Linked DNA regions of Mus musculus: region 2 is reported to be linked to region 1. Evidence: microRNA targets listed by miRTarBase, many of them from high-throughput screens and not tested one by one. Region 1 holds a microRNA gene; the other region holds the end of a gene's coding sequence. Distances are between the middles of the regions.
What was found. Region 1 holds the annotated microRNA mmu-miR-3079-3p (CAGGCUCAUCAGAUGAAAGUC, at 8,081-8,101, opposite strand). A microRNA usually pairs through its seed, bases 2 to 8, with sites in the 3' UTR of a target mRNA and lowers its output. Matches are read on the target gene's strand: a 7mer-m8 pairs with bases 2 to 8, a 7mer-A1 pairs with bases 2 to 7 and ends in A, and an 8mer does both.

Region 2: the mRNA of Utp23 is a reported target of mmu-miR-3079-3p. Seed matches in the 3' UTR shown: 7mer-m8 at 2,184-2,190.

Annotation. Positions count from the first base shown.
Region 1 is chr15:76,282,811-76,298,406 of GRCm38, forward strand. It overlaps Mir3079 (microRNA 3079), which reads right to left and starts at 8,158; the gene lies at 8,069-8,158. It overlaps Spatc1 (spermatogenesis and centriole associated 1), which reads left to right. Exons shown (of 5, transcript NM_028852.1): 2 at 738-1,394; 3 at 1,885-1,995; 4 at 2,105-2,244; 5 at 9,354-9,762. The coding sequence ends at 9,683. Smpd5 (sphingomyelin phosphodiesterase 5) reads left to right here and starts at 11,562. Exons shown (of 7, transcript NM_001195537.2): 1 at 11,562-12,481; 2 at 12,580-12,652; 3 at 12,874-13,014; 4 at 13,085-13,174; 5 at 13,268-13,331; 6 at 13,416-13,551; 7 at 13,626-14,086. The coding sequence starts at 11,624. The coding sequence ends at 13,715. It overlaps Oplah (5-oxoprolinase (ATP-hydrolysing)), which reads right to left. Exons shown (of 27, transcript NM_153122.3): 20 at 15,577-15,596; 21 at 15,326-15,472; 22 at 15,096-15,230; 23 at 14,809-14,958; 24 at 14,549-14,706; 25 at 14,307-14,467; 26 at 14,111-14,208; 27 at 13,793-13,971. The coding sequence ends at 13,825.
Region 2 is chr15:51,880,622-51,896,217 of GRCm38, forward strand. Utp23 (UTP23 small subunit processome component) reads left to right here. Exons shown (of 3, transcript NM_030132.5): 2 at 395-569; 3 at 1,530-4,001. The coding sequence ends at 1,916. It overlaps Gm34678 (a long non-coding RNA gene), which reads right to left. Exons shown (of 6, transcript XR_003951502.1): 2 at 14,388-14,637; 3 at 11,811-11,981; 4 at 11,010-11,073; 5 at 9,400-9,736; 6 at 3,652-3,664. Among named protein-coding and RNA genes, the nearest start is that of Gm48923, 8.7 kb to the right of the region's middle.

The DNA of each region.
Region 1 (15,596 bases):
TCACTCTGTAGACCAGGCTGTCCTGGAACTCAGAAATCCACCTGCCTCTGCCTCCCAAATGCTGGGATTAAAGGCATTCGCCACCACCACCCAACAAAGTTGCTTTTTCAATTATTATTGTACAGTTACAAAAACTCTCCTGAACTCTGCCCTTGCAGCAATCATGTCTCCAAGGAATTTCCCTCCCAAAAACCATTAAGGGAATTCTGCTTCAGAAGTAAAAAAGAATAAGATCTCTGCCCCATTCCTCTATAGGAGTCCAAAGATCGCCAGCAACCATTCTGGGCCTCTCTGAGTGATGGCTGTGTCCAAACTAGCTGTCAAGAACCTGCACCCCGAGTCTGGTAGACTATGTGCGGCCCTAGGCAGCATGAGGCTCTCCTACTCTGACCCTTGGAGGTCCTACCAGTGGGTACAAGTCTCTCTACAATGTTAAGGCCCGGCTCACTCCTCCCAGCCAAAAGTAGAGAGCCAGGTTAGCTGTCTTTGAGTACGACCACTAGGAGCCGCTCTTCTGGTGTGGGGTTGGCGGCAGAGAGGGACAGACCAACATCCAGAACCCTCTAAAGTGGCACAGAATGCTCTCTGTGCTGAATGCCTCTGGCTACTCCACAGATGCCCTCATCCAACCCACCTAAGGAATGATGCTCAGAGAGGGCAGGTCAAGCCAGCCAGCTCAGCAGACAGATACCTTGACCAGACATGAGTGGGTCTTTGTGTTCTTTCTGTATCCACAGGTGTATTCCTGCCCCCAGCTTCAGCAGCAGCAAAGGAGCCCTGCTCAGAAGACTTGGGGATGGTAGCACTGGCACCTCTGGCTGACATGTTGAATACCCCACAGCTCAGTCCTGCAGCAGGCTCCCTTGTGAACCCCCTGGCTGCTACTCTTAACCCACTGCTGTCTGGCCAAATACCCTTGTTGCAGAACAACCAGTTTGCCAATCTTGTGCCATGCTCCATGAGCAACCAACTGACCAATCCTACTACAGTTTCCCCAGGAGTCACCTTGGCCAGTTCTCTGGGTTTGCCCTCTACTGGACCCCTGAACAGTCAAATGACTAGTCCCATGACTGTACCCCCAGGGACCACTCTGGCCAGCTCACTGGGCCTGACCTCAACTGGTTCCCTAACAACAAGCAGCCGGCTGGTGGGCCCTCTGGCTGTATCTCAGAGCAGCCCCATCATGGCTCCCCTGGCAGGCACAGTGGCAGTCTCTCTGAGTAGTCCCCTGCTCTCCTCCACAGCTACCCCTCTAGGTGTTGCTCAGAACGTAGTGCCCAACCCCATAAACAACATAGGGCAGCCAGAGACGCCAAGGGTGCGGCTGGCAGAGCCTACCCGAGGAAACTTTTCTGGAACCTCAGCCTATGCAGGACCAGCTCCCACCTCCAAAGGTAATTGGGTGCCCTGGGTGGGCCGATTCCTGCTTCCAGTCTGCCTCACTCTAACCCCTCCTCTCATTTCCACTCCTCCACATCCCAATCACCAGTGAGCACCCCCAGCCGAGACAGGACCCAGAGCCCCTTGACATGTTTGTGGGCGCGCCCCTCCAGAACATCCCCTCTATGCGTACCATGGCCACATCCAGTCTCACAACAAATGTTTATGGCACCTTGGATAATCGAACTCAGACTAGTGTTTCCCAGGGACAAATGTCCCTCACTTTTGTCCAAAGCTCCCCAACAGGCTCTCCTCCTTGCACAATCCCCAGCTCTGCCCCAGCTCCTGCCCCCCAAGCTGCTGAAAACGGTTCCCCTTCAAGAAACACCCACTCCAACTCCCCCTCCAGGGTGCACCAATCCCCTACCCGACCTGTGCCCAATCCCCATTCTCCTCCACACAACCTCCCATCCCCGCCCCGCACCTCATCCTCTTCGGCTTCAGTCAATGATACCCGGGGTTCACGCGTGATGGAACAGTCTCGGAAGAATGTCGTGGAGATGGAGCGGAAGACGCCCCACCGAAAGTCTAACAAGTTACCTGACAATCCCCGAGGTCAGTAACACTACAAGGGATCGACATGAGTGTGGTGCCGTTTCCCTCATTACATACTCTGGACTGCTCACCACAGTCCCACCCTGCTGAGACCCTCTGTCATTCTCAGACACAAAACAGCTAGTCTGTGAGAGGCTAGTGGGGGAAATCGCCTTCCAGCTAGACCGAAGAATCCTGTCCAGCATCTTCCCAGAGCGCGTACGTCTCTACGGCTTCACTGTCTCCAACATCCCAGAGAAGATCATCCAGGTGTGTGGCTATCCGTCTCCCACATTGCCAGAGGAGCCTTCACGGCCTTCACGGATGGGGCAGTAAGCTCAGTCGGTACTGAAGGACCAGGCATTTATGGGGAGGGACTCTGAGATGGAGGGAGCCCATAGCTGTGGGCTACAGACTCTAGAAGAGAGAGGGATGGGATTTCCTCCAGGGAGGAGGGAGCACTCCTCTTCCACCTCCTAGTTGGTCTTTGGCTGAGCAGCACCAACCCCTGGGGTCTGAATCAACAAACCTAAAGAATTCTATAGCCCGCTGCCTCCAGCATCCCCAGTGCTCACTGAGAACACCACAGGGAACTGGCAAGGGGGTAAGGACTGGGGATATGGGTCTGCACTTGGCTGGATACCCCTGCCATATGAGACCATGCAGGGCCTATCCCTGTATACATTTGAGCTTTTCTCAGCGGGAAAATGGCTTTCCAGCTGCTTATTCTCTTAGGCCATCTTTGTGTACAAATTATGTTGTAATGACTTCTGATTGCACAGGCTGTTTTTTAAATTTTGTTTAATGTATGAGTGCTCTGCTGCATATACATCCACCTGCCTGAAGGGGGCATCATATCCCCCTATAGATGGTCGTAAGCCACCATGTGATTGCTGGGAATTGAGCTCATGACCTCTGGAAGAGCAGTCAGTGCTCTTAACCACTGAGTTATCTCACCAGCTCCACAGGCTGATTCTTAGCTTGCCTTTTCTTGGCTAAAGTGTCCTTTCACTAGATACAATTTTTTGTTTGTCTGTTTGTTTGTTTGTTTGTTTGTTTGTTTGTTTTTTGAGACAGGGTTCCTCTGTATAGCCCTGGCTGTCCTGGAACTCACTCTGTAGACCAGGCTAGCCTCAAACTCAGAAATCCTCCTGCCTCTGCCTCCCAAGTGCTGGGATTAAAGGCAGGCTCCACTGTGCTTAGTTTAGATAATTAATTTGAATGTGTTCAGAAATGTCAGTCTTTCCTCACGTTATTTGTATTGTCTCAATTAAGAAACTCTCCCCTAGCTGGGTGGTCTACAATGTGCAATCCAGGGCAGAGAGGAGCTGCACAGAGAATTCCTGTCTCAGGAAAAGAAAAAAAAAAAAAGAAAAGAAAAGAAAAGAAAGAAAGAAAGAAAGAAAGAAAGAAAGAAAGAAAGAAAGAAAAGAAAAAGAAAGAAATCTTCCCCTAGCAGAAACTCCTGAAACTATTTTGTATTCCTTAGTCAACATTTTCTCCTAAGGGTTTAAAGTTTGAGTTCTTTCTTCTCTCTCTCTCTCTCTCTCTCTCTCTCTCTCTCTCTCTCTCTCTCTCTCTTTCTTTCTTTCTTTCTTTCTTAAAGATTTATTTATTTTATGTATGTGAGTATACTGTCGCTGTCTTCAGACACACCTGAAGAGGGCATCAGATCCCATTACAGATGGTTGTGAGTCACCATGTGGTTGCTGGGAATTGAACTCAGGACCTTTGAAAGAGCAGGTTAAGAGTACTCTTAACCGCTGAGCCATCTCTCCAGCCCAAAAGTTTGAGTTTTTAAGAAAATCTTCTTACAGATTTATTTTTCTTTTATTATGTGTATGGGAGGGTTGTCCAGAGAGGCCAGGTCTCCTCGGTTGTGAGCTGCCTGGTGTGGGTGCTGGGAACCAGATTCTGGTCCCCAGGAAAAGCGGCAAGTGCTCTTACCAGCTGAACCTTCTCAGCAGCCCCTCAAGGGTTTTTGTTTGGTCTTGAGTCTTTGACTCTCCTATCAGCAGTCAAGCTAGAAGTTATAAGCTAAGATGTGTCTTCTCTCCAGCTCAAAAACACCTGACTAACTCCAGAGACCACCAAGACACAGAGTGCACTCTGCATCAGGATGACTCTAGGGCTAAAGGGGCAGCCCCTGGGACTGAGGGTCAAGAGAAAAATGACAAGGAGACAGAGGACTGTGTGGACATGATGGTAGCAGAAAATGAGTGCTTTTCTTTTGAGGGGCCCAGCCTGTCTATGGAGATCTCAAAGGAGTTCCCTTTGGTCAGTTGGTACAGCCTCTGAGAGCTCAGAGCTGCCAGAGCAAAGAAGATGCCCAGTGCTTGCCAGCATCCCTCTTAGACTTGCATCTATGAGGGCTCCTTTGTCTGGGTCCAGCTCTCCTTGTCCATTTTGGAGGAGACTGTAAGAGGAGGAGGAGGAGGAAGAGGAGGAGGAGGAGGAGGAGGAGGAGGAGGAGGAGGAGGAGGAGGAGGAGGAGGAGGAGGAGGAGGAGAGGGTGTGTGTTATGATGGGCTAGGATGAAGTGGTGTGTTGGTTGGGCATGTGAATCGAGTGAACCAAAGGGGTTTTTTGATTGCTGGACTTCAACACTTTAATATCTAGACCTTGGTTGTCAGCTTCAGGAGGAGGAAGTGGCCAAAATAAGGCAAGATACCTTGGTAGCTAGCTTTAGGAATGTAATTTGATGGTTTTGAGTAAGGCAGAGGGAATGGAGAAGGGCAAGGCCTGCCAGAGCCATATTTGGCTGGCCAGAGTTCCTTCCCATTTAGTCTATATAACAAGACAGCCATGTTCCTGGGTTTTCTGTGGAGAATCATTAGCCACCAACTCAATCAAAGAGGGTCCCGTGGTGTAGCAACAGTGACCACAAGATACCAAGGGGCAGTTGGCATTATAGTCACCTAGCAAGGATGACCTTAAACTTCTGGCCCTCCTGCCTCTACCTCCTCTGCTGGGATTAGAGGCGTTCCACCTAACCTGGCGTTGTGAGAAGCTGGACCTCTTGCCTCAGCATGCTTGTCATTCCGCCCAAGAGCCTGAGTCATCTCGTTTTACTTCTGTCAGCAGTGACCCAGAGACTCTCCTTCCTCTTCCGGACAGCTCCACTGAAACCCTCCCGGAAACAAAGTGGCCTCCTGGAGCTAGGCTGATACCTAGCCATATCCCTCTATGGAGTCTTCCAGGCCAACTCCTGTGGTCACATTTGGAAATCATAAATTTACCCCCTGGCTTCAAGGGTCCCCACCCACCTGGCTGGGCCTTTGGTTGAGTCTCACCTGCACCTGATTCCAGTTCACCCAAATTTTATTTCCCCCTTTCAGTGTATCTTCTTTTCCATCTCCCCCCACCCCCAGGGTCAGTGGTTGTAATCCCTAAATTCTACCCAGACCTGCTAACACTAGTCAAAGCCAATATTGTCCCTACAAGCCACTCACTCTCCAACGCTGTATAGGTTTAGTGGGTTGAAATTTAATAGATATTTTTGATAAGGACCCTGACTTTCCACTAAATCTGGCTGTCTTTTTAATTAGATTGTACAGTTACACTTTCTTTTGGCTTGAGTTGGTTTCATCATTGTTGATTTTTTGGCTTGTTTGGGTTTTTGTTTGTTATGCTTGTTTTTGTTTTTCTTACTGTGTAACCCTGGCTTGCCCAGGGCTTGCTACGTAGCCCAGGTTGTCCTAACACTTATAGTGACCCTTCTGCCTCCTAATTACATAGATTACCACTGGTACCACTGTGTCTTTTTTTTTTTTTTCCTAAGTTTCATCTGTATTTTTGTCTATGGGGCGCTAGTGGTGGTGGTATATGTGTGTGTGTCAGTTTAAGTGCCTGAAGAGGCCAGAGGTATTTGATGGAGTTACAGGTAGTTGTGAACCACTGCACGACGTGCTCTGGGAGTTAAACTTTGGTCCTCAGCGAGAACAGTACATGCTTTTAATGGCTGAGCCATCTCTCCAGCCCAGTTATGCTGTCATTTAAACCCAAGGAGAAGTGGGCCACAGCTCTCTCTGTTCTCATTCTTCCTACCCAGTTGTGAAGAACTTTGTGGAAGATATTTGGAGTGTCTTTTCTCTTAGCATCCTAATCCTAGGGGCCTTGAGTCCCGCCGTGTCCGTGTCCATGTGAGAGTGACTAGGGCCATGTTGTGTGGCGAAGGGCGCCTTGACCACCGCTTATGGGCTCCTGAGAATGACTTCACTTCTACATACTGCTTTGGTATCCAAGCTACCTTACGTATCCAAGCCCTCTTAGGCATTCTAAGAACCTGTATATCAATTTAATTTTTCTTGGGAACAATCATAATGTTTCTCTAGGCAGTTATATTTTATCTACCCTTTTGATAAAAATGTTTCAAGCCTCAGACCTATGGTCCTCCTGCCTCAGCCTCCTGAGGGTGCCCACCCTCTATGTCCTTTCATTTTTACATATTTTGATTGTTGAGGCAAGATCCTGTTGAGTAAGCAGCGTAGCTGGCTTGGAACTCAGACTAGTCCCAAATCTTGCTGTGGTCCCCCTCCCTCTTCCTCCAGAGAGGTGGGGTGACAAACATGCACCATTGTGCTCAGAGAATGAATGAATGATTTACTTATTCGTTGAGACAAAGCCTTAATGAGTGTGTATCCCTAGTTACTATGTAGGGATACTATGTAGCCCAGGCTAGCCTTGAACCTGAGTTAATGTACCTGTCTCGGTCTCTAGTTCCATATGTATAGGCATTAGCCACCATGCCCACATATTCTTTTAATCTTTAAAATACTGGGCTGGAGAGAGGGCTCTATGGTTAAGCACGTGTACTGCTCTTCCAGAGGACCCAAGTTCAATTCCCAGATTCCATATCTGGTGACTCACAACTCCAACTCTAAAGGTTTCCAAACCCCTGCCTGTGTGGGACCCTGCATTTGTGTGTACATACTCAGGGACTGACACATACATAAAATTTAAAATATATATACATGTTTTTATTAATGTTGAACCAAGAAATTAAATATACTTCATAAAAATTGATATATGGAACTGATACAAAAACCATTCAACTCAGCCGGGCAGGGGTGGCACACACCTTTAATCCCAGCACTCGGGAGGCAAGGCAGGTGGATTTCTGAGTTCGAGGCCAGCCTGGTCTACAAAGTGAATTCCGGGACAGCCAGGGCTACACAGAGAAACCCTGTCTTGAACTCCCCCCCCCCAAAAAAAACGAAACAAAGCATTAAACTTAGTGCTTCCATGTAGCTCAGCTGATAGAAATGCTTGCCTAGCGATACTACATAAACCAGATGTGGTGCTACATGCCTTCAATCCCAGAACACACACAGTTTTACTGCTGTGAACAGACACCATGACCAAGGCAACTTTTTTTTTATTAGATATTTTCTTCATTTACATTTCAAATGCTATCCCAAAAGTCCCCTATACCCTCCCCTCTGCCCTGCTCCCCTACCCACCCACTCCCATTTCTTGGCCCTGTCGTTCCCCTGTACTGAGGCATATAAAGTTTGCAAGACCAAGGGGCTTCTCTTCCCAATGATGGCTGACTAGGCCATCTTCTGCTACATATGCAGCTAGAGACACGAGCTCCGGGGGTACTGGTTAGTTCATATTGTTGTTCCACTTATAGGGTTGCAGACCCCTTCAGCCCCTTGGGTACTTTCTCTAGCTCCTCCATTGGGGGCCTCCACAGGGAGCATCCACTTCTGTATTTGCCAGGCACTGTCATGGCCTCACAAGAGACAGCTATATCAGGGTACTGTAGCAAAATCTTGCTGGCGTATGCAATAGTGTCTGTGTTTGGTGACTGATTATGGGACGCCCCCCCCCCCAAGGCAACTCTTAATCAGGACAACATTTAATTGGGGTTGGCTTAACAGATTCAGAAGTTCAGTCCATTTTCATCAAGGCAGGAGCACGGCAGCTTCTAGGCGGGCATGGTGCAGGAAGGGGAGCTGAGAGTCCTACAATTTATTCCGAAGGCAAACAGAAGACTGGCTTCTGCTAGGAGGAGGGTCTTAAAGTCCACCCCCACAGTGACTCACTTCCTCCAACAAGGCCACACCACACCTACTCCAACAAAGGCCACACCTAAGCTAAGGACTTTCATCTGATGAGCCTGGAGCCAGGTGAATGGGAACTCCAGCTTAGCTCATCAGATCAAAGTCCTTAGCTTGGCAGAGGTTGTCTGGGAGCACAGTGGGGTCTTCTAGAGAAGGCTTAGGCTGGAGCTCTGTAGTCTCCCCCTCCCCCTCCCCTTCTTCCCCCTTCCTCCTGTTCCTCTTCTTTCTTCTTCTTCCTCCTCCTCTTCTTCCTCCTCCTCCTTCTTCTTCTGGTGCTTGGTGATCCAGGCCCTTGTGAAAAGGTCAGCATTCTACCAGGCCTTAATTCTTTCCTCACCACAGATCACACTGGCTACTTCTTTTTGCAAAAATATACAAAGCAACAAATGCCACAGGCCACCTTCCCTGCATCTATCCGAGGAGCGCACTGGCCTTCTCATTGTGCTCCTCCCTGCCTGACAGATTTGCCTTCTTAGACAAATCATCCAGTGTGCTTGGCTGCAGACAGCAACTGATGTACACAGATAGGGATTTAATATAATAGGGTCCCCAGCTCCAGGAAAGACACAAAATCGCGTTTGCCGTACTGCCCAGAAAAATGTCAACACACCAAGGGACTTTCCCAGTGAATATACCAGGGGCACCAGTCCCAACACAGCAGAGAGATCAGGTGGGTGTCCCCAGTTGAGTACAACTGTCCCTGAAGAGCCAGTGCTATACCCATGGTGCCCCCCAGAGACCTGCCACCTTCTATGTGGAAATACGTCTTCCCACATGGAAGTCCCATCAGCCTGTCAGCATGGGCGTGCTTGGTAGAAATGTCAGTACCTTGACTCCACGGGGGCCTCGGGAAAGGTGATGTTCAGGAAGACCTTCCTGCCCTGTTAGAACGGTGTCTGTTATTCCAGGTTAAGTGCTTTCTATTAGCTCTTGGGAAAGCATGCAAACTCTGGGGTCTGGCAACCTGAGAGTATGAAGAACTCCCTGTGCCCCCATACTGGAAGCCACATAGTCCCACATAGCTGGTGGAAGGAAAAAACAAACAAAACAAAAAAACAGTGGGATGCATGTCTCTAGCAGCTTTGGGGAGCCTCTGGGCCTGCCTGAGTTGGGTTTTTGGGTGCCTTGACCTCAGGCCCAGCCCTCTGGACCTTTCAGGGACCATGGCTTCTCCTCTCTTGGCATCCTCATAGCAATACTTCACAATTTCCTTTCCCCCGGCCTCCCTTGCCCCTGCTCTTCCCGCCTGCCTGTGAGCCAGGGTGGGGTGTGTGTGTGTGGGGGGTCCCTGATGGCCACTCTCCCCAACAGGCCTCCCTAAACCCCAGTAATCACAAGTTGGATGAGGACCTGTGCCAGACGCTCACACAGCGTTACGTGAGCATCATGAACAAGCTGCAGAGCTTAGGCTACAACGGGCGGGTGCACCCGGCACTGACAGAACAGCTGGTCAATGAGTACGGCATCCTGCGCGAGCGGCCTGAGCTGGCGGCATCTGAAGGTGGCTGCTACACGGTGGACTTCTTGCAGCGTGTGCTATTGGAAACCGTGCACCCCAGCAAGCTCACGGACGCCCTCCTGCTGCTCTCCTGCCTCCATCAGCTGTCCCACGATGACGGCAAACCTATGTTCATCTGGTAACACCCGGTGCCCGGCTGGCCCAGGCTCACTTCACCCTGTAGGCCATTGTGCATGGCCATTAAAGTTTCCCACAGACTCTGGTCACTGGGCCCAAGCCACACCTTCCTGCTCCAGTGGGGTGGGGTGGGGGGGCCACATTCACATTACAGCCTCCCTGGAGAGACAGAGCTCTCAGACACTGTCTTTCTAATGGGATTAAATGGAAGGTCCCAAATTCCCTTTTTACTTGGTAATGAAAACAGAAGTTCTGGGAGCGGAGGAAAAAAAAGAGGGAGTAGGATCAGGAACAGGGAAGGGATGATGCAGAAAGAAAGGATACTTCCCTGTTCTTAGCAAAGGGGTAGGGAGCCTCAGGGCCTTGGGGCAGGACAGTAGAGGTAAGAGAGCCAGATGCCACCTCATCCAAACCTGGGCAAGGGAGCCTGGGAGATGGCAGCCCCTTGTGAAGATGCCCAAGGTCTGAGAAAAGGATGGGTTCTGTCTAAGCATGGGGGACCAGAGCTGACCAGAGAATGAAAAACATGGGTTGGGGGGGATAGGGCGAGGGATTGTGGGAGGGGGGACCAGGAGCAGGGGGCATCTATGGGGATGTAAAATGAATAAATAAATGAAAAAAAAGGAACATGGGTTGGAAAAATTGGGGCCCTTGTGGGAGGGGGGTATTGAAATCAATGGGTAGGCTGAGATTGGAAACATCGTGGTGTTTCTAGAAGAGTGGAGACCAAAATGGGGTTGGTTCATGAGAAGGGCAGTGTGGAAAAGCCTGGAGTAGTTTCTGGCTTGCCTGAAGTTGCAGGCGCTAGGGCAGTGACAAGGCAGAAAGGAATAAAAGAACTAGGGACTTAGAAAACCAGTTCTTGCCAGTCAAGGAACAGCAGAGCCTTGGGGGGGGGGGGGCGGATTCAAACAGGAATCTATCAGTACCAATACAACTTCCGGTTAGAAAGAGGCATGGTTCTCCAGCTGGGATACCTCGCCCCACCCCCACCCCCACCCCCACCTGCCCTGCAGAGTTCAATGCCTTCTGCCCAGACTGCCCAGCTCATCAACAGTTGCCTTCATCCAAAGTCTCCAGGACTATCCTGGCAAGCCGGCTGAAGATCGCCAGCCAAGACAAACCTGATGGGTTACTTAAGAGACACTGATGGTCGATGTCAGGGTGTTTGCTGGCTCACAGCTGGAGTTAAGGAGTCAGACTTCCAAGGGGAGCCAAGAAAAGTCTGTGAAAGCCCAAGGGATCATTGTCAAGAAACTAAAGTCAAGAGGGGCGGTGCTGGTACATGTCTTTAATCCCAGCAATCCGGAGGCAGAGGCAGGCAGATCTCTGTGAGTTCGAGGCCAGCCTGGTCTACAGAGCAAGTTCCAGGACAGCCAGAGTCACAGAGAAACCCTGCCCCGAGAAACAAAACAAAACAAACAAAAATAAAACACAGAATTAAAAGAACTTAAGTCTGTTACAGGGCTCATAGAATGGAGGATTTCCTTTTACCTGTCTGGGCAAGCTGCCTCAGGTGTAGAACTAACGGTCCCTCCCCGGGTTTGAAGTCTCAGCCTCTGCAAGCCATCGGTGCTGAGTCTCTGCACTAAGCCAGGCACCGGATTGAGAGGCTGTGGTGAACCTACCTGGCTGTGAGTAGTCAGGCTGTAAAGTGTATTGGAGGGGTGGGGGAGGGGAGAGTAGGCAGGGCCCTAAGTTTTTCTCCGAAGCACTAAGTGGACCCCCGCAAGTACAAGGAGGAAATAGGGCAGGGCTGTAAAGCTCGGATTTCTTTTACGGGTTTTTTTTTTTTTTTAAATTGTTGTTCGTTTCCAACCGCCACAGAAGTTCTGAGTGGGTGGGGCCAGTGGCCAGCACTCAGGCTCGCGGGACGTCCGGGCATTACTAGCGGCGCGCACAGGTTGTGCCACCTGGTCTTGACCTCCGCCGCCGCTGGAAACCAATGAGTCTCCCTGACATTTCGCGGCGAAGGAGCCCAGTGCCCCAAGAGGACTGGCCCCTGACACCCAACGCCCTGAGGCCTTCACCTTTCCCGAACCCAGTGCTGCAAGCCCTCTACAGTTTATCCCGCGTGCTGCTTTTCCCGACTTACTGGTCCCTGGACCAGTTGCTGGGCTGCTGGGCACCAAGCGTCCGATCCAAAAGCTTGGGGTGGTTCAAAGTCCTGGCAGGAAGTGGGGTGTTGCTACCACTGGTGGTGGTCGGCCTACCCTTAGCGTTGGTCGGCCTTGCGCTCTGGCTGCCCCTCCAGGTCTGGCGCCGCCCCTTCTGCTATCAGCCCCCTCCGGCATGCTGGGTGTGGCCACAGCCCTGGCATCCGCCTGCTGAGCGCCGGCGCTGCTTTGTCTTTCTCACTGCTAATCTGTGCCTATTGCCCCACGGGCTGGCTCATTTTAACAACCTGTCGCACAGCCTGCAGCGCGCCGAGGCTGTAGGGGCCGCACTGCTAGATAGCCTTCAATCGTCACAGTATAGGGTTTCCGAATGCAGTCAGCCGCCGCCTAGGGTGCCTGGTGGTGAGCTGAAGGCCACATTACCTATGGGCTTGGACTTCGTGTGTCTGCAGGAAGTGTTCGACCTCCGCGCAGCTCGTCGTCTTGTGCGTGTCTTGGTACCAAATCTGGGCCCGGTGATATATGATGTGGGCACATTTGGCTTAATGGCTGGGCCGTACATCAAGGTACTGGGCAGTGGGCTTCTACTGGCCTCGCGCTACCCGTTGCTGCGTGCCACCTTCCGTTGCTTTCCTAACGCTCGTCGCGAGGACGCCATGGCCTCCAAAGGTCTACTATCAGTCCAGGTACTAACCCAGGCTGCAGTGAGCCCTAGCGGGGAGAGCGTAAGCAATAGATTTAACCAGGAGAGCAAGAAGACCTGGAACTGTGGGTGGTGTTGCAGGCGCAGCTAGGCATCGTGGACGGGCACCCCATCGTGGGATACCTTCATTGTACACATTTGCATGCACCCGTTGGTGAGCCCTGCAGGAGGGTTTGAAATGTGGGTAGGTAGCCCCTCTTCTCTCCTTCGAAGGCAGTAGGTCCCTTAACCTTACCAACACGTCTGTCCCCACATCCCAATGTTCTCTGCCCCAGACATCCCAAGAAATGCCTTGGGTGGTTTACAGATCAGGACCCACAGGGTGAGGTCTTAGATCCCTACTCTGGGCTAAGCCAACTTCATCTCTCCTCTCAGAGGATGGACATATTCGCTGCAAACAGCTAACGCTGCTGCTGGAATGGGTGGAAGAGTTCGAGGCTGAGAACCGGCAGAGTGATGAGGCTGTAGCCTTCAGCGTCCTCCTGGGAGATCTAAACTTTGACAACTGCTCCCAAGGTAAGAAGCTGGGGTGAGGTGGAGCCAAGAGACCCAGCTCTGCCCACTGAGAAACGGCTTTTCTCCACAGATCATGCCAAGGAGCAGGGCCATAAACTCTTCAGCTGCTTTCAGGACCCCTGCCGGCTAGGCGTTTGCCAGGAACAGCCCTGGGCCTTAGGTACTGCTGCTGGGTAGGTGGGAGAACAAGTCTGTGGGATGTCTGTCAGCAAGGTGGCCTGCTGCTGAGTCTGCTCTTCCCTGGACTCCACAGGGACAATCTTGAATTCCTCCATGCTACGCCACTCCATTGCCTGCTCCCCAGAGATGCTTCGGAGGTGAGTGGACTCCTTGAGCCCCAGGCACTACTAGGCCAGCTGAGAGAAACGTCCCTAGCCTCAGGAATGCTGTCCCTCTCCTAGGGCCCTGAGACAGGAAAAGGGGCGCCGCCTGTACCTGTCAGGGCCCCTTCATGGGAGTTACCCAGCTCAGTCCTGGAAGGGCCGGCGTCTGGACTACATCACCTACCGCAGAGTACCCGGGAGTCGCCTGAGCCCAGTAAGTGCCTCACCTCAGGGCTGCTGGGCTTGCTTTAACTGAAAACACCTCTCAACTTGACACCTGCCCGGCAGGAGGCGGAGCAGGTGACATTCAGTACTGCCTTTGCTGGACTCACGGACCACTTGGCTATGGGCCTGAAGCTTCAAGTGGTATGCTCCTGACGCTGGTGCCCAGACAAGGGGATGAATGTCGAGAAAGACCACCATGGGGGGAGCGGAGCCCAATAACCCAATAACCATGCGACTCAAAGGATCTTTATTGTGGGGGCACTCATACTGCTTCCTGGGCGCGGCGGTACTCATACACACTGCCTCGCTCTGGGAAGGCTGGATATAGCGGGGGCGAGCCTGGTGGTGGTGCTGGGTCCTCCGGGTCTCCATAGCCCCCACCCCCAGGCGTGTGGAGGCAGAACGCGTCCTGAGAAGAAGAGCAAGTTTTAACACAGGTTGCGTCCCTGTCCCAGTTAAGACACAATCACTCAACCACCCTATTTCCGTTTGGGAGCCAAATTAAATTTTTGTATCCCTATTCACACAAGGCTCCCTCCCTCTCTTACCCCGGGATACACAGTCACGGATGTCTTGCCGCCCAGATTCACTGTGCGCCCATCTTTTCTGATCAGGAGGTTTAAGCCACGTGTACCAGGCTCTCCCCCTGTAGAAGGAGAAAGCAAGGAAGCTTGGGGGTCAAGAGAGGTAGGGGTAGGGAGATGGGATCAAAAGAGGCTGGCAAGGGCTGGGGAAGCCACCCACCGTGGAGGCCATAAGGCTGGAAGGCGCGGCGCTCCGTGAGGACAGACAGTAGCGCCTCTTCCCGAAAGACCAGCTCTCGGACTACGCCATCACCTCCCCGGAAGCGGCCTCGGCCTCCAGAGCCTGGCCTCAGCTCAAAGCGGCGCAGGATAACTGGATACCTGTGCAGGAGAAGGGCACAGCGCATCTGAGCACGGGCTCATCTCCCAGATCAACTGCCCAGCACTGAGTGCCCAGCTCACCGGCTCTCCAAAATCTCTGGGTCCGTAATGCGCGTGTTGGTCATGTGACTGTGTACACCACTGCGCCCATGCCAGCCAGGGCCTGCACCCGCACCACCAGCTACTGTCTCATAGTAGCCCATACGGGCATTGCCCAGGGTCACATTGTTCATGCAGCCCTGATAGAAGCAAATAACAGCATTTGGTTAGTGGGCGCATCTACCCCCACCACCCTGCTTCCCAGCAGCCCCCAGACCTGTGTCCACTTTTCTCCACCACACCTGGGAGGCTGCACAGGCCCCAAAAGCCCCCAGGATGACATCCACGACTCGCTGAGATGTGAGCACGTTGCCTCCGACCACTGCTGCCTCTGGGGATGGATCCAATATGGAGCCTTTGGGAATTATGACTTGCACAGGAGCCAGGCAACCCTGGTGAAATGACCAAGGTGGTTAATTAGGGCTGGGTATTACCCAGGTTCAGATAACAATTCCACCACTCTAAGCTCCGTTCATATTGGGCTGCCTTTGTTTTCTGGCAAGCCCCCTCACCACACACCTCTACGAACCTGGTTAAGTGGGATGTCACGGCCCACTAGACAGCGCAAGCAATAGATGAGAGCAGACAGTGTTATGGCTCGAGGGGCATTGAGATTGCCAAACACCTCAGACCCAGAACCACTGAAGTCAAATACAGCGCTGCCCTACCCAGAGAAAAAAGGTACGGCAATCAGCAACAGAATGGGCCTCACCCCAGAGGCCAGTGCCAGTGCCCTCCCCACTTCCCTCACAAGCGAACCTGATTCAGGTTGATCTGAACATGCAGGCAGATGGGAGAGCCATCGTCCATGTGATCCTTGGCAGACACCTCCAGGGGCAGGCCCCTGGCCTGGCGGGAAGTTCCAAAAGCACGAAGCATGTCTCGCACTGCTAGTTCAGCATTTGCCTAGCAGAAATAAGGTTCAGCCCCGCCATGCCATCTGCAGGGTAGCCCACCTACCTTGGGGCAGCCACAAAACTGCCCATGTATGTCCCTGTTCCCAGGCCCACCTGAATATGGCCCATATAGG
Region 2 (15,596 bases), 24 Mb from region 1:
AAAAACAACTTGCATGCTTCCTGTACACAAATGCTTAGTGTACTCTGACATTGGTATTCTTTCTGCTTGGAGTATGTATTTTTAAAGTTTTCATTTAAGAAGAAAATGGCAACCGTGCTATAAATCCACATTTTTTTATTTTTTTAATTAGGTATTTATTTCATTTACGTTTCAAATGCTATCCCAAAAGTCCCCCAGACCCTCCCCCCCCCCCCCCGCCCCACTCCCCTACCCACCCACTCCCACTTCTTGGCCCTGGCGTTCCCCCGTCACATTTTTATGGAATAGTTTTTCCACCTTAAAAACTTGAGTATTGTGTTTATGCTTGCTTTGTATAAACAGAAGGAATGTATTGGTTGTGATTCTGGACTCTGAATGACTTTTTTCTCCCCAGATGTGTGTTAAAGGAGTTAGAAACACTGGGAAAGGAATTATATGGAGCAAAACTGATTGCACAGAAATGCCAGGTTCGAAACTGTCCTCATTTCAAGAGCCCAGTGAGTGGGTCTGAATGTCTCCTGTCCATGGTGGATGAGGGGAACCCTCATCATTATTTTGTGGCCACACAGGTAATGTTACTTTCAAAACTGTAAGGCAGTTTTAACTACCTCTATATATACTTCATGCAGCTCTGTTTGCAGTACAAAGAAAAGTAAGTGGGAGAGATAATGTAGTGTTTGAAGTTCTATTTATTTACTTACTGTGGTGTATTAGAGAGGATTCCAGTCACTTAGCTAATTCATGTTTCATTGTTTGGACTTTTAAAAATGTACATTTTAAAATGGGATCAATAAAGGTACTTACTTGAACATATGAGGAGGAGACTAAGTTTGGGGGACTTTTTTTCCTTCAGAAGTTTCCTTCTAGAGGCTGAGGAGCTGTTGCAGTAGTGTGCTGATTGCGTCACGGTTCTTCAAGCAGGGAGGAGTCGGGCAGTCTCTGCCTTCTGGACTCATAACCTAGCATGTTCCTGAATTCCTGCTTCTCAGCTCATGGTGCATGTGCTCTGAGATTAGCATCAGGAGGCTGCAGAGATGGCTCAGGGGTTAAGAGCTGGCTGCTCTTGGTTTAATTCCCAACACCTATACAGCTGCTCTCAACCATGTGTACCTACAGTCTCAAGGAACCCACCGCCATCTTACGGCCACCTAGGCACACATGAGGTATACAGATATGATTGTGGAGTCAGCTTATTACTCTGCTCCAACCTCTTCCCTTGTCGATGTTTCGAGAGAATATCTAGTGGAAAGGCAAGAGAAAGTTTCTAATGTATTTTCTGTTGCATTGGTTGATAATTCGTGGGCCCAGAGTGTTGACTGATCCAGCCCCGACTGCTGTTGAGTGGCTTCATTCTGCTTAGTCTTTATGTTTTCTGTCCTCTACCGTAAGATACATTTTGATTAATAAGACATGTCATCTGAAAAAGAAAACATATAGTTCTTTTTTTCCCCATCTAGCCTTTTTTAATAGAAACTTAATTTTAGGTTCTAATTTTGATTGAGAAACCAAACCCCTTTCCTTTTTAATAGGATCAGAACTTATCTGTGAAAGTCAAGAGGACTCCTGGAATTCCTCTCATGTTCATTATTCAGAACACTATAGTGTTGGACAAGCCTTCTCCCAGAACAGTGGCCTTTGTGAAGGCGGTCGAGGCGGGTCAGCTGGTCTCAGTGCACGAGAAACAGAGTATCAAGCAACTGAAGGAGGAGCAAGGCCTGGTGCGGAACCCGGACCTGAGGAGGAGGAGGAGGAAAAAGAAGAAGGTGGGCGGCCCCAATCCTCTCAGCTGCCTGAAGAAAAAGAAGAAAGCACAGGATACAAAGTCCCCTGCTTCCGAAAAGAAAAGGAAAAGGAAACGGATTCGGAACAGATCCACCCTGAAAGTGTCTTCTGAGCAGCAGGGTGCAGAAGGCTGATGTGTGCTGGGGATACTCTGGAAGACAGTGGAAACTAACTTCCTGTTCAAACTGTGAAAATGTGTATACCAGAGGACTAACTTATTTTTGTAAACTACTACTGCTACATACACTTTTGCCAAAAGTAAAGAATAGTTGGGTTTGTCAGTGTGCATCTTCAGTTGTTGCTTTGGGGATGTATTTTTATTATAAAATTATCTCCAGTTTCTCCCCTTCTCACCCTCCAAGTGCTGTGTATGTGTGTGGTATATGAGTGGTATGTGTTTGTGAGCCTCTCTCTCTCTCTCTCTCTCTCTCTCTCTCTCTGTGTGTGTAGGTGCAGTAGTGTTTGTGAGCTTGTTGGGCGGTGGGGGGGGGGGGTGAGCGTGTGTATGAAGCAGCTAGAGGTCAGCATGAAGTGTCTTTCTCTATCACTCTCTACCATTATTTTTTGAGAGAGTTTCTCACTGAATCAATAACTTGCCAGTTAAGTGGTCCTGGATGGCCGTTAAGCCCCAGAGATCCTCCTGTCTCCTTTCTGGTGCTGGGATTGACAGCATTCACTGTTGAATGTGGCTTTCTGTATGAGTCTGAGGATCTGAACCCAACTCCTCACAGTAGTACGGCAGGTAAGGTCCTGACTGAGGCATCACCCCAGCACCACATAATTTTAAAAGTCAGTCCTAAGGCCAGTGAGATGACTCAGTGGGTGTCTTAGTCAGGGTTTCTATTCCTGCACAAACATCATGACCAAGAAGCAAGTTGGGGAGGAAAGGGTTTATTCTGCTTACACTTCCACATTGCTGTTCATCACCAAAGGAAATCAGGACTGGAACTCAAGCAGGTCAGGAAGCAGGAGCTGATGCAGAGGCCATGGAGGGATGTTCTTTACTGACTTGCCTCCCCTGGCTTGCTCAACTTGCTCTCTTATAGAACCCAAGACTACCAGCCCAGGGATGGCACAACCCACAAGGGGCCTTTCCCCCTTGATCACTAATTGAGAAAATGCCTTGCAGTTGGATCTCTTGGAGGCATTTCCTCAACTGAAGCTCCTTTCTCTGTGATAACTCCAGCCTGTGTCAAGTTGACACACAAAACCAGCCGGTACAGTGGGTAAAGACGCCTGCTGCCTACCTTGATAACTGAACCTCGTCCCTGAGACCTAGAGACCAGACCTGACTCCCAAAATTGTCTTCTTACCTCCACACCTCCACGCAAAACAAATTAATGTCATTTGTAAAAGTCAGTTCTAAGGGAGGAAAGGGGGATAGCTTACCCATTATTTTGTATATGGCAATAAAATCTGTAAGAGCTTAAGATAAAAGTTGTATCTTTGACAGTTGGAGAAACCTCCACATTCAACTAACTGTTGAATACAATGCTACCGTCTGCTCTCAATAGCCTGGAAAGGATGGCTATAGCACCTTACATTTTCCTAATAAACAAGTGTTGTAGTATTTATTGGTCATAAACTCGTTTTTAGCATTGTGCATGGCTGAGCAAGGTGACATGTAGTGTGGCTAAATTTATTACATTGCTCTTCCTGAAACTAATAGCGTTGGGCTTCTTCATTGCCCAGTAACATGGCATATAGTTACACTCATCCAATAGTTTGAAGTCATTTTTACCATGCAATACTTAGCTGGGTTCTCCTGATGTCCTCCAGTGTGGCTGTGCTTTCTGCTGAGCATGCTACTCAGATATTGTTAGGTACTGTCCTCTGGAGAACTGTCATGGTAGGCTTTTTTTCTTCTTCTTGTATTCCCTTGCTGTAATAAAGCACAAAGCAAGTAAGAAATCCATATTTGAGAGTATCTACTGCCTTTATTACAAACTACATGAGTCCTAGCTGAAGTTCACTTCAATTTTCTTAAATCTTGTTTATTTATTGTCCTAAGGAAAACATTCCATTTTTAAGCCCCACAGGTTCAATAATGTGTTGATTTTTGTTTCTGATAGCTGATCTGAATACTATCCCTCAATGGCAAGAATTCTAAAATAATGTTCTACTGGGTATTCTGATAAAGTGTCCAAATTATTTGATTCAATTAGAAAATTGAATGTCTAGGTTTATGTAAAATAAAATGGTTGTGATTTGACAAGTTTAATAATAGTTTTTCATGTGTAAGTAGAAAGAAATGTTTAAAATCTTTAAAATAGGCCATTTTATTATACAAAAATCCTTACAACTTTTAGTTTAGATGTAAATGAAGGGCCAGAAGGATGGCTGCACCCATCCAAAACTATGAAAATGCCCCAGCCCACTCCACAGAGAAGGGGAAGGGTGCTGAGGGGCCATTCCTGGTACCGTAAGCCCTGGGCAGTCAGGCCATGTGGAGAGCTTATTATGGTTAAACTGATATTGATGGTTCTCTAAGTTGACATTGCATCAAACAACCTTTTACTATCTACACTTATACCCACAAACAAAAGGTTCCCAGCCATAATATGAGAATCCTCTCTCAGCAATGAGTGGTGCTGAATACAGAGTCCTGCCTCCCCATGACGCAGCTGTGACAGTTCTGACCCACAGCCCTAAACAAGACAATTATCCCACCCCTCGAAGGCTCAAGAAGCCTTACAGAAGTGAACTAAGAACCAGAAGATGGGATGAGGGATTGCAAAACGCTGTTTTCTAGACTAGATGCAATCACTGAAATTATTAACTCCAATCTTGTTACCTGCCCTGGACCCATCTAACATAGGCCTCATTAATAGTCAAGGTGGGGGAAGGGGCTCAAGGGGCCCTACCATTTACTTCTGAACCATTTGCGACTGGTAGATTCTGAGAGGGGGGGGGGGGAAGCACTGTCTCTCGCTGTGTACCCACTGCTGAGCCCACCATGCTCTATTGCAGAGCTTCAAAAGCATGGTCACCTAGACAGCACTGGTCACAGTGAGAGATCAGGGGGAAAGGAGAGGCCGTGCAGGACAGAAGGCGAGAGTGGCCACTATCTATTTTGAATGTATAAAATTGTCTAAGAACAATTTCAATTGATTTAAGAAAAAGTACTGGCTAATTGCAATACATCTATCAGGTGGGTTTCAGAGTACCCAGCTGGTAACGTTGACTTAGAACTTTTAAAATACTGCCACCCATGTACTACTTCATTAGAGGAACATGAGAATTTTCCACTAGGAGGGTTGGAAATGACTACAGCAGCACCCACCAAAATTGTGAAGTGAAAGGTCTATGCCAAGTTACACATTTCCACTTCCTTATGTAAGGTCTTACCTGCTTTTCCTATACAACGGGTAAATCTGCCACTTAGAAAAGATGCCTGTGGCCAGGATGACTTACACCAGTATTTACTAGCTTAGCTGAAATCTAGGCGTTGCTACGCTTCTTAAATAATTCTTGAACAAGTACTTAGTGTAAACCATAAAATTTAGGTTTTAAATTTACTCTTTAAAAGACTTTGTGGTTTACTAGAATATAGCAACAAGACCAGGCCTAAGAAGATGCTTGGTGGTGGAGTGCTCATTATGAGAAAAGAATTCATCTCCTGCACCACAAACACACACATGAAGAAACACATGAAACAGAATGAAATTCTTGTTACTTAAAAAAATGCTGGGGGCTGGCGAGATGGCTCAGTGGTTAAGAGCGCCACCTGCTCTTCCGAAGGTCCCGAGTTCAAATCCCAGCAACCAAATGGTGGCTCACAACCATCCGTAACGAAATCTGATGCCCTCTTCTGGAGTATCTGAGGACAGCTACAGTGTACTTAAATATAATAAATAAATAAATCTTTTAAAAAATGCAACAAATATTTCTTAACACTAGACACTATGTTATTAAGCAGATTTTTAACTAGTATTGGACAAAAAGAAATGGTAAGAGTGCTTACTATAACTGTCATTGCTTAAACTCCAAATACCACTTAGTCTACATTTCAGTTTTATTGTTTGGACCCAATTACTAGTCTCCCTTCCACATTGGGAGTTATTGTGATTAGATGATAAACAAATCAAGTTTCCAGGCCAGAAAGCACAGTAGACTTGTGAACTCACTGGTATTTCCCTTGAGCTTCTGACACACTTAGAGACTGCATGTATGGTCATTTTGTCTCTGACATCTAGACAACAGGTTATTAGGGTAGGAAAAGTCAAGCAGAAGCTGTCGGGCTTTCTTCTAGTAGGAAATTAAATCCAAAGCTAGGCCCTCATGGGCAGAGTTGCGGAGATCACTGCCATCATTCCGTGCTTGAGCAAGGCAGACATGCTGACTTCATGAAAGGGACTGAGTTACCAATACCAAGACATTTTAAAGCCGGTCCGATGAAAGTCCCATCTGACACTGCTGTCTTGGCAAACTGAAAAGTACTCTCTCCATCTTTTAATTCCCTTCAAATTTCCTCTTATTTGTGAAGGAGAAAAGGCAAGCAGTAGAATGAGAGGGAACACGTATCTTGTAAAGGACATACGTGGAAAATAGAATAACAGCTAATACTAAAAAGACAACACTGTGCCTAAAATGGGCACAGAATACAAACAGACCCAGTACTAGGAAATCTGCAAATGGCCAATGAGCACAAGCAAGGAAGCTCCATATTATTAGCTGCCAGGGGAATGGAAAGTACACCATGATAATGCATCACATCACCTCACACAGTAGGACTGCCATAACCAAGCAGACAGAAAATAGCAAGCGAGTGCAAAGGAAAAACCAGACCGTCATATATTGTTAGCGTGGTTTTAAAACGGCAACTCTCTTGGAAAACAGTCTGGCAGTTTTTCAAATTGTTAAACATGCATTTACAACATTATCTGGCAGATTCACTCCTGGGTATATGTTTGAGAGAAATTAAACAGATGTCCAAATGCAACTTATATGCAAGAATCCACAGTGGCGCTATTAATAACAATAAAAGGGGGAACATCGTGAGCGTTCGCCCATCGGCAAACACAGCACAGTGAAATGGAGTGTTGCATGCAGGAAAGAAGAACATAAAGAAGTCATAAACTCTGAGATGGTTGAGCCTTGAAAACTTGCTACCTGGAAGAAACCAAGGGATCGAGTATTGTATGACTACATTTCTATAAAATGTGAAGAATAAGGGACTCTGTAGTCAGAAATGATTTGTAGATTTCTACGGCAAAGGAAATGGGGGCAGATAGGAGGGAAAGAGACAAAGAGGTTTTTTGGGGGGTTGGGTGGGAAATGAAAGGAGTAAAGTTAATTTTGCTACTGATACCTTACCATGAGAATACAGTAGCATCATTTGATCTTGTATACTTAGTTGACTCTGTCTAGATTAAATTAATTATATCTTAGTAGTTTGAAAATATGGTAAACACAGTATGCGTGAATCAGTTGAGTAATCACGAGGACTAAACAAAATATGCTCTGTGGTTTGGATGATAAAGAAGAAAAGAGAATATTGACTGGCTTCGTTCAAAGAGAAAAATGTTCTGACAAGCCATTTGTATACTAATATGTTATTTTTATTCTTCTGGTGAACTCACCTCAAGTGGGTCTCTGCCAGCCTAATGCTCCCTGTCCTCTGTCCGATGCAGTCAGAAGGCTGCCATCTGTTTCATTCAGTTGCCAGAATGTTCCAGATAACCCACAGGTAGTAATTGCCAAGAAGATAAATAGCTTCCAAATACTCCTCATCTTACACAACCATTTCACAACAATGATAATGTTGGTGCGATGAGGGAGTTCTGGTCTCTAGAACCGAACTAGCAAATATAAGCCATGGAATGGAAAGCAACAGGGACAGGGTGCAGCTTAGCCATGGAGCAATCATGTCCACACTAGCCTGTTAGTTTTCCACATTCAGAAAGAGTTGTGCATAAAGATGAATGTCCAAGAGCATCATTGAGATTTAGATACCCACATTCATGCCCTGTCCCATCTGAGCCTCCTTAGAATGGTGGTAAGCCAGAGAGCTGGGCAGACAGAGCAGCTCTGACCACAGCAGATGGGGTTTTACTGTGATTTTACCCCCCGTGTTGGTACTTTTAGACACTTCAAACAGCCACTAGGATGTCATTTGAAGTTCAATGACTTTTTTTAAAAAAATGATGCTTGTGTTAGTTTTTCTCTTCTGAGACAAAACCACTAATAAAAGAGGATATGTTGGTTTTGGCTCATTGTTTCAGAGGTTTCTGCCCATGTATATTTGGCCTTGTTGCTTAGGCCTGTGGGGACACCATACGTTATTGGGGGAGGATGTGGCTGGTCACCTCATGGTAATGAGAAAAAGAAAGGAAAGGAAGGGTAGGATCACAGTATCTTCTTCTAGGGTGTGCAGCCAAGGGCACACTCCTACTAGGCTGTACCTACAAGTACCAACATCTTACAATATCGCCACAGGCTAGGACAATACTTGTAAAATATTGTCCTTTAAATTATATCACCATTGATTTGTAGCAGTGGCGAATACCATTTGCGGCCCATATTTAGTGAGTTTGATGAATGTTGGATGAACAAAACTGACTTAGATGAAATCTACCATCATCTGTATTCCAGGGTCTCAAAGCATTATAACTAGCTCATGACTACCTAGATCACAGCGATTGTCTTTGATGTACTGTAAGAAAGTGGCGGTCTTCATTCGGCTTGCGCATTCACCTCACATATAGATCAACTCCTCCACCCTGCCCCCAAAGCATTGTGAAATAAATAACCACCACTTTTTAAAAAATACACTAAATGGACTCTGTGGGTCTAAAAATAGAGCACATGTGAGTGGTAAAGGAATAAGATGGATGTAAAGGGGGGACATTATCAAAACACATCCTAGGGATGCAGGAGATTCTCCAACAACACAGAAGGCAGTTATAAAATGTACATGTTGGCGTGAATAAAGCCATACTTAGTGAAGGGACTCTAGCCAACCTGAGCATGGCAGACATGCTCCCACATTCCGTCTGCCTTCCTAAAAGCCATTACATTACATTCCTAAAGCTAGCCATCAAGGTCCATTCCCTTATTTGTCCACTTCCTCCTTTCGAGGCTGACTACCAAGGTCCAGCTATCAAAGTATTGCAGTCCAGCAATCAAAAGCTCCCTTTGGCTCACCTAATTAGTATGCCCAATTAAAATTAAACACCTCATCCTGACATGGAGTTTCCCCTTTTACCATTATAAACTGCCATTTTCCTATGGGTCACATCTGTTGTCTCCTTTTTATGCCTAGGCAGCCCTTTGTCTCCCTTGGGGGTAGACTGCCCCCTCTCCTTTGTTTCTTTCCCCTACTCCCTCCTAACTGAAACATTACTGTGTATAACTCTGCAAGTTACCATTTCTCCCTGCTTTGCCTTATGGTCAGACCTTTGTCTGAGTGGAGGTTGTGTGTGTGTGTGTGTGTGTGTGTGTGTGTGTGTGTGTGTGTGTGTGTGTGTGTGCTCTGTATGTTGTGGAACAATACATTTCCTGGGAGATGCAATACACAAATCTATCCACCCTGGATAGGAAGCCCACAATAGATCAGAGTATGAATATACCAAAGCCCAACTTGATGAACCAATGAGCTTCATTGCAGTTACTTACAGGAATATGGGTGAGAGTTTACATATGGGAGTAGAAATAACTCAGACAGCTGCATCACCAAAGCTCACATCAGCATGGGTGACAGCTCACAGAAGCTGGAAACCTGGAGCACACTGCACAGCCTGTAGGCAGCTCAGAAGGGTGAAGAGTGTCCCTTCCAGGTGCTTCAGCTCTTCCCGGCAGCTCTGCTGGTTTGTTTCTTCCAGGCGATTTGCCTTGTGCAGGGGTCTTCTTTGAGTTTTGCTTGTCTGGGGGTCCTCTTTGCAGCTTGATTTATTAAAGCCTCCTTTTTTTGCATCTTGGCTTGCTTGAAATTCAGCCCTCTTTTCTGCTTACTCTGGAAGAATAGCGAATCTGATCAATTTCAGGGACTTCTTGAAGCTATATTGGGTTGCTTACTTTGTTCGGGTTTGAGGAGTTTCTCTGTAGGTTTGAATGTTTCGATCTCAGAGGAAACTAACACAACACCACAGCACTTAAATATGGGTTATTTTGTGGGAGCCATTACACCGTGCTCTGCCACAGCCACTCTAAAACTCTTCTGAGAGGTCATTTCTGCTTTTATCAGGACAGAAGCCTGTGTCCTGTTAGAGTAGGAAAAAAGGAAGGATGCAAAGGAGAAAAAGAGAGAACAAGAAAATAACTAAACCTTGACAAGAAAAAAAGAATGTCAGAATTCATATGGAGATAGCTAATATTAATTATGTCGATGGTTAACTGTATGTTTAAAGCTTTAAAATTGCAGTGCTTAAGAGAACCATAAAGCAAAATTGACTTTCAAATGTTAAGGGCTAGCTAGGCAAGGTGGTACATGCCTTTAATCTTCGAGCTGGGAAGGCAGAGCCAGGTGGGTCTCAGAGTTGGAGGCCAGCTTCCTCTACAAAGGGACTTCCAAGACAGCCAGGGCTACAAAGAGAAACCCTGTTTCAAAACAAACAAACAAACAAAAAATCCAGAGTCCCTGGTGAAGACTTGGCACCAGTATATGAATAAAAACATCTTCCTTGTTAAAATATATTGACTGGTATATCTCTGAACCACCCCAGGCCTATAATGTGGAGGTTTGAATAGGTTTGGCCCCCATAGACTTATGTCTTTGAAAGCTTGGCTCACAGTAATACTATTAGGAGGTGTGTCCTTGCTGGAGTAGGTGTGGGTGCATCCTTGCTGGTGTAGGGATGGGCTTTGAGTTCTCATATATATGCTCAAGTCCCAACTGCTTTTGAATCAAGATGTAGAACTATCAGTTCCTTCTCCAGCACTATGTCTACCTGTGTTCCACCATGCTTCCTGCTATGATAATGGACTAAACCTCTGAACCTGTAAGCCAGCCCCAATTAAATGTTTGCCTTTGTAAGAGCTGTCTTGGTCATGGAACTCTTCATAGCAATGGAAACCCTAATTAAGCCGGGCGTGGTGGCACATGCCTTTAATCCCAGCACTTGGGAGGCAGAGGCAGGCGGGTTTCTGAGTTCGAGGACAGCCTGGTCTACAGAGTGAGTTCCAGGACAGCCACAGCTATACAGAGAAACCATGTCTCGAAACAAACAAACAAACAAACAAACAAACAAACAAAGACACATAACAATAATAATTATTAAGACACATACCTTGACAATCAGCTGCAGAATACTGAGCAATAAAGCATCCAGCTCTGACTGTGTAGAGGAATCACTGGAAACAAAATAAATACCCAACCAAAAGTGTTAGGTGTCTTTATTAGGGAGAGGGCTCTAGGCACTTGCTTAACTACAATATTTCCTGTGGGCAGCCTGGCTGGAATCTTTGGTGTAACACCAAAGAACTTAAATTGGAGAATTAGATCAAGCTGGGTATCTGTCAGGCTTCCTTCAAGTTTCAGGTTTGGGTTGAGTGTCCAGATCTAGACTTTGAGACCTGTCTGAGACAAACCAACACCATTGGGCGTGAGGAGAGGCAAGCCTTCTGAGCAAAGCTTATAGACCATTTCCACAGTAATCTGCTAAGCAAACACACAGCTCCTCTCTACACATACCTATGCTACAGAGCTAGTCGGAGGGTGGAATAAAATAACTCAAAGATGTCATTTAGGTGTCTGTTATGTAACTATTTAGTCACCTACGTGAATTATTTTTATTAAAGCAATGCGTTGTGTCTATGGTCTATATACGACATTAACGAGCAAGTTAAGTGTAAATTTTGATTATTTTCCCTTTAGAGATAGGCATTTGTTACAGGACCCTTAAGAAGAGTTTTCCAATTAAATCAACCTTGTCGTCGAGTTTTCCATGTTGACAGTGCTTTCCCACAAAGCTTAAGCTTTGCATTATATGGCTTTGCATCCACATTACTTAGAATTTGTTTCAGTTCTGGATAGTAAAGAGGCACAGAGGCAATAGCTTAAACCAGTGTGCCAGTTACATTACTCCTACCTGATAGAGCATCCCGAAGCTCATTGACTTGAACCATAATCCTTTAGGATCGATGGCTGTGCTACTGTTCTCCCATGGATTGAATTGTGGCATCTAAGCAATGGCTTCTAACGGAAGGTCATGTGATGACCCCTGCTTGAACAGGACGTGGGGTGAAGTACCAGGGACTACCTGCATGAGTCAAAAGAACCCTATTAAAAATGTGATATGTATATTCCTGTATTCTCTTCAATAGCTTCGTTATAAAACTCTGGATAAGGCCAGGGTATTTACACACTATAGAGGCCCCTTATGACCAAACCAAGATGATACTAGCAGGCTTTGAAAAGGCCACACAAATGACAAAGCCAATAGGAAATTGTTACTAGACAAAACACATATAGGTCTGTTAGTCTGGCACGTTCTTATTTGACTTAAAAAAAGAAATTCCTGTTTTGGGAGGTCACACAGCTGTGCAGCACATTGTCTTCCCACCAACTTTAATAATAACATGTCTGACATGTGGATTATGGTTAGCAGCCAGGTATATTACTTTACAGCAACTTGAAGGCTACTATTCCTGAAATCACCAACTCGTTCTGGTCCCAACAGAAAACTGGTAAATAACGAAAATGAACTAAAAGGTTTGGCATCTCCATTTTCATTTTTGTCTATCTCCATTGGTGTCTTTTCTGGGAGGGAGATAGAACCTCACATATCCCAGGCTGCCCTTGAATTCACTGTGCAACCAAGGATAACTTTGAGGTCCTGATCATTCTGCCTCTAGCTCCCAAGTGCTAAGATTACAGCTATGCAACTGTAACTGGCTTTCGATTGGTATATTAATCTGTATCAGTTCTGCATGGAGACATGTTGACCAATGCTTTGTCAGAGACTACAGTTTGTGGTTCGCTGCCCCTGTTGCCTGTTAGAATGAGGTTTTTCTTCTACTGTGTCCTTGTATTTTCTTGTCAGCTTGCATCCACCATCCCAGATTTATCCTAAGGCACACAGGCAACCATGAGACCATTTCATCACCATGAGACATGATGACACTACCAATAGAAAAGTGTTACCAGCTCCTGCCTTATGTCACTACTCATTAGTTCAGCGACTCATGGCCAGAATACCTGAGCACAAGGAAGACCTTTTAGAAAACTCTATCCATGCCTATGACGAATAGATAATACTCAAACTTTGTCCCCCTCTCCCAATGAAATGCAGGCCTACTGCATTAAAGGAGCTGTCTGATCACTGTTTGGTTGGAGCTTGCTCCCTTCTGCTTCCAGCTGAACCCCTACCTTTCACCAAAGCTTCAGTAGTCTCATTCAAAACATGTGGGTTTGTTTTACTCCACCTGTGTCCTTGCATAACACCCTGCCATCAGTATCAGAGATCCAAAAGGGTAGGCTAGGCAGAGCTGCTCATCCAACGAAGGGATACATGGTAGGCAGAAATGTTGATACCATTAGGAGGCACAGGCTTAGAGCCAGCAGAAGCCACAGGTGGAAGACAGAAGCAAAGATGGGGAGTTCTTGCTCCACGTGAAAATGGTGGCAGGGGGAAGAATTAAGGGCAATTCTTTAGTCTGGACCAACAAACTAGAAGTCTATTTGAGTCATATAAAACCCTGCAGGTGAGTGGTTCAGGGCTGTTATGGGACTTGTAGTTTTCAAGAACTCGGGCTACTTCCAGTTCACTGATCCTCTATGTGTAGCCCCCCACCTCCACCCCCGTCAAGGTTCACTCATTAACCAAGGTGATCTTTTCAGTTCTATCTATGAGGTAAGAAAAAGGACAAAGTTAAGAAAAAATCTCAGAACAGATGGGGTCTGAGACTGGATCTTCTATCATTCCAATACCAAATCCAACTTGAACATGCCCGGACTTACAAAATGCCAAGGGGTGATTGGAAGTTTGTGGATATCAGGGTATACATTAAATCAGTGAGCTTGGGGGCAGGGAAGACCAGGATTCCCTTGAATTATGTTTCAATGATGCAATACACACGTAAAGATCACCTTGTATGCTCTTTGCCTTCTTAAAAAAAAAAAGCCATTATTGTGTCAGAGGAAGAGGAAGCGATTCAGGTACAGAACATGTTCTAACAGCCTAAATGATGGTGCTTGGTGAATCGTGGTCCTAAAGGTACCAAACGGGGGAGCCAAAGTTCTCCAACTGCTGCATACTTTTGACAAGGAAAATCTAGTTTTGTCTTCCGATCTACATTGATGACCTAAGCCAAGTAAATAAGCCTGGTTTATTTCTGTAACATCTTTATGCAGACAGTCTGTTATGCACTGTGGGTTCAGATGTGCAATAATTTGTACAATGGTTTATTCCCAAGTATGCCTTTAAGCAGAACAAATGTGTTTTTCTATATAGTTCCTTGCCTTAGTAAATATGTAATATGCATTTAAGTACACTTCTATTTTGTATATTTGTAAACTACAAAGCAAAAAAAAAAAATGAACATTTTGTGGAATTTGTATTTTGCATACTCAAGGTGAGAAATAAGTTTTAAATAAACCTATAATATTTTATCTGAAAAAAAAAAAAGAAAAAGGACAAAGTTGAAAGGGGGCAAAAGTCACATACCATCTGTCTCTTACAGAGGGATCCTAAAAGTCGCCACATCACATTTACTCAAGACGCAGACAGAGTTTCTTGCAAGGAGAAGTGATGGTTTGCTCTCCAGCCAGGCAGCCTTGCACTTGGGTAAATCAGGGCCACTGTTACTAAGAATAATGAACCATGATTCCTACATAGTCTTCCTCCGGCTGTGAAGTCAATGCATGCTTGTTGCTTTAAAATAAAACATTCTATATAACACTGGTTCTTCACTCCTCTGTGAGAAAAAAAAGGGATAATAATTATCAATAAGATAAAAAGGAAAGAACATTGGTGGTTCAAATTGGTGTGATACTGGGAGTCTTCCGAGGTACCACGGTTATTTTGTCTGATTGCCAGTATTCTTTCTGTCTGACTCATTGGCCTCCAAAAACATTTTTATCAGTACTTTTGTTTAGTGTGTGTGTGTGTGTGTGTGTGTGTGTGTGTGTGTGTGTGTGTGTGTGTGAGAGAGAGAGAGAGAGAGAGAGAGAGAGACCTTCACCAGCCTATAGAGAGATGATCCAAGAGGAGGTAAGAACACAGTTCTGTTCAACATAGCTCAGTAGCTGGTGTTGGTTCAAACATTGAGAGTCTGACCCCGAGTGGTTTATTTTAGGAATATTTCAGCGCAGCAAAACCTTGTGAAAACTGTTCTGGTGATAATCAACTCAGTCCTACATGCACAACAAAGCATGTTTGAGGAGCAAAGTAAGCTAACCAAAAATTGAATGTGACTACATCAAAACGGTTTGAAAAGTGCACATGGCACTTTCTGAAGATAACGTCTACAGATTGACTGAAGGAGACAAGGCTATGATAAGAGTCTGTAGGAGGGTTGAGAATGCAGAGTACCAAGGTCACCAGGATAGAAAGCCTTCTGAGCAGATAACAGGTCTTGCATTCCTTCCCTTGAAGGAACTAAAAGGACCAAGGTAACTCTACCCTTTCCTCTTCCATCTGCTCCCTGTCTTACTTAGCTCTTAAACAACTTGTCTGGACCCCCATTCTTCTTAGGTAAACTGTGAGAGTTAGCCAGGGCCAATCAGTTCCTTGCTGACACAGACACAGCCAATCCTTGTAAGAGAGAAGTTGCCCCCTCCTGACCCCTTTCTCCTGCTTGTATTTTTTTTCCGGTGTTTGTTTGTTTGTTTGTTTGTTTGTTTGTTTGTTTTAAAGGGCCTGTGCCTGCTGGGG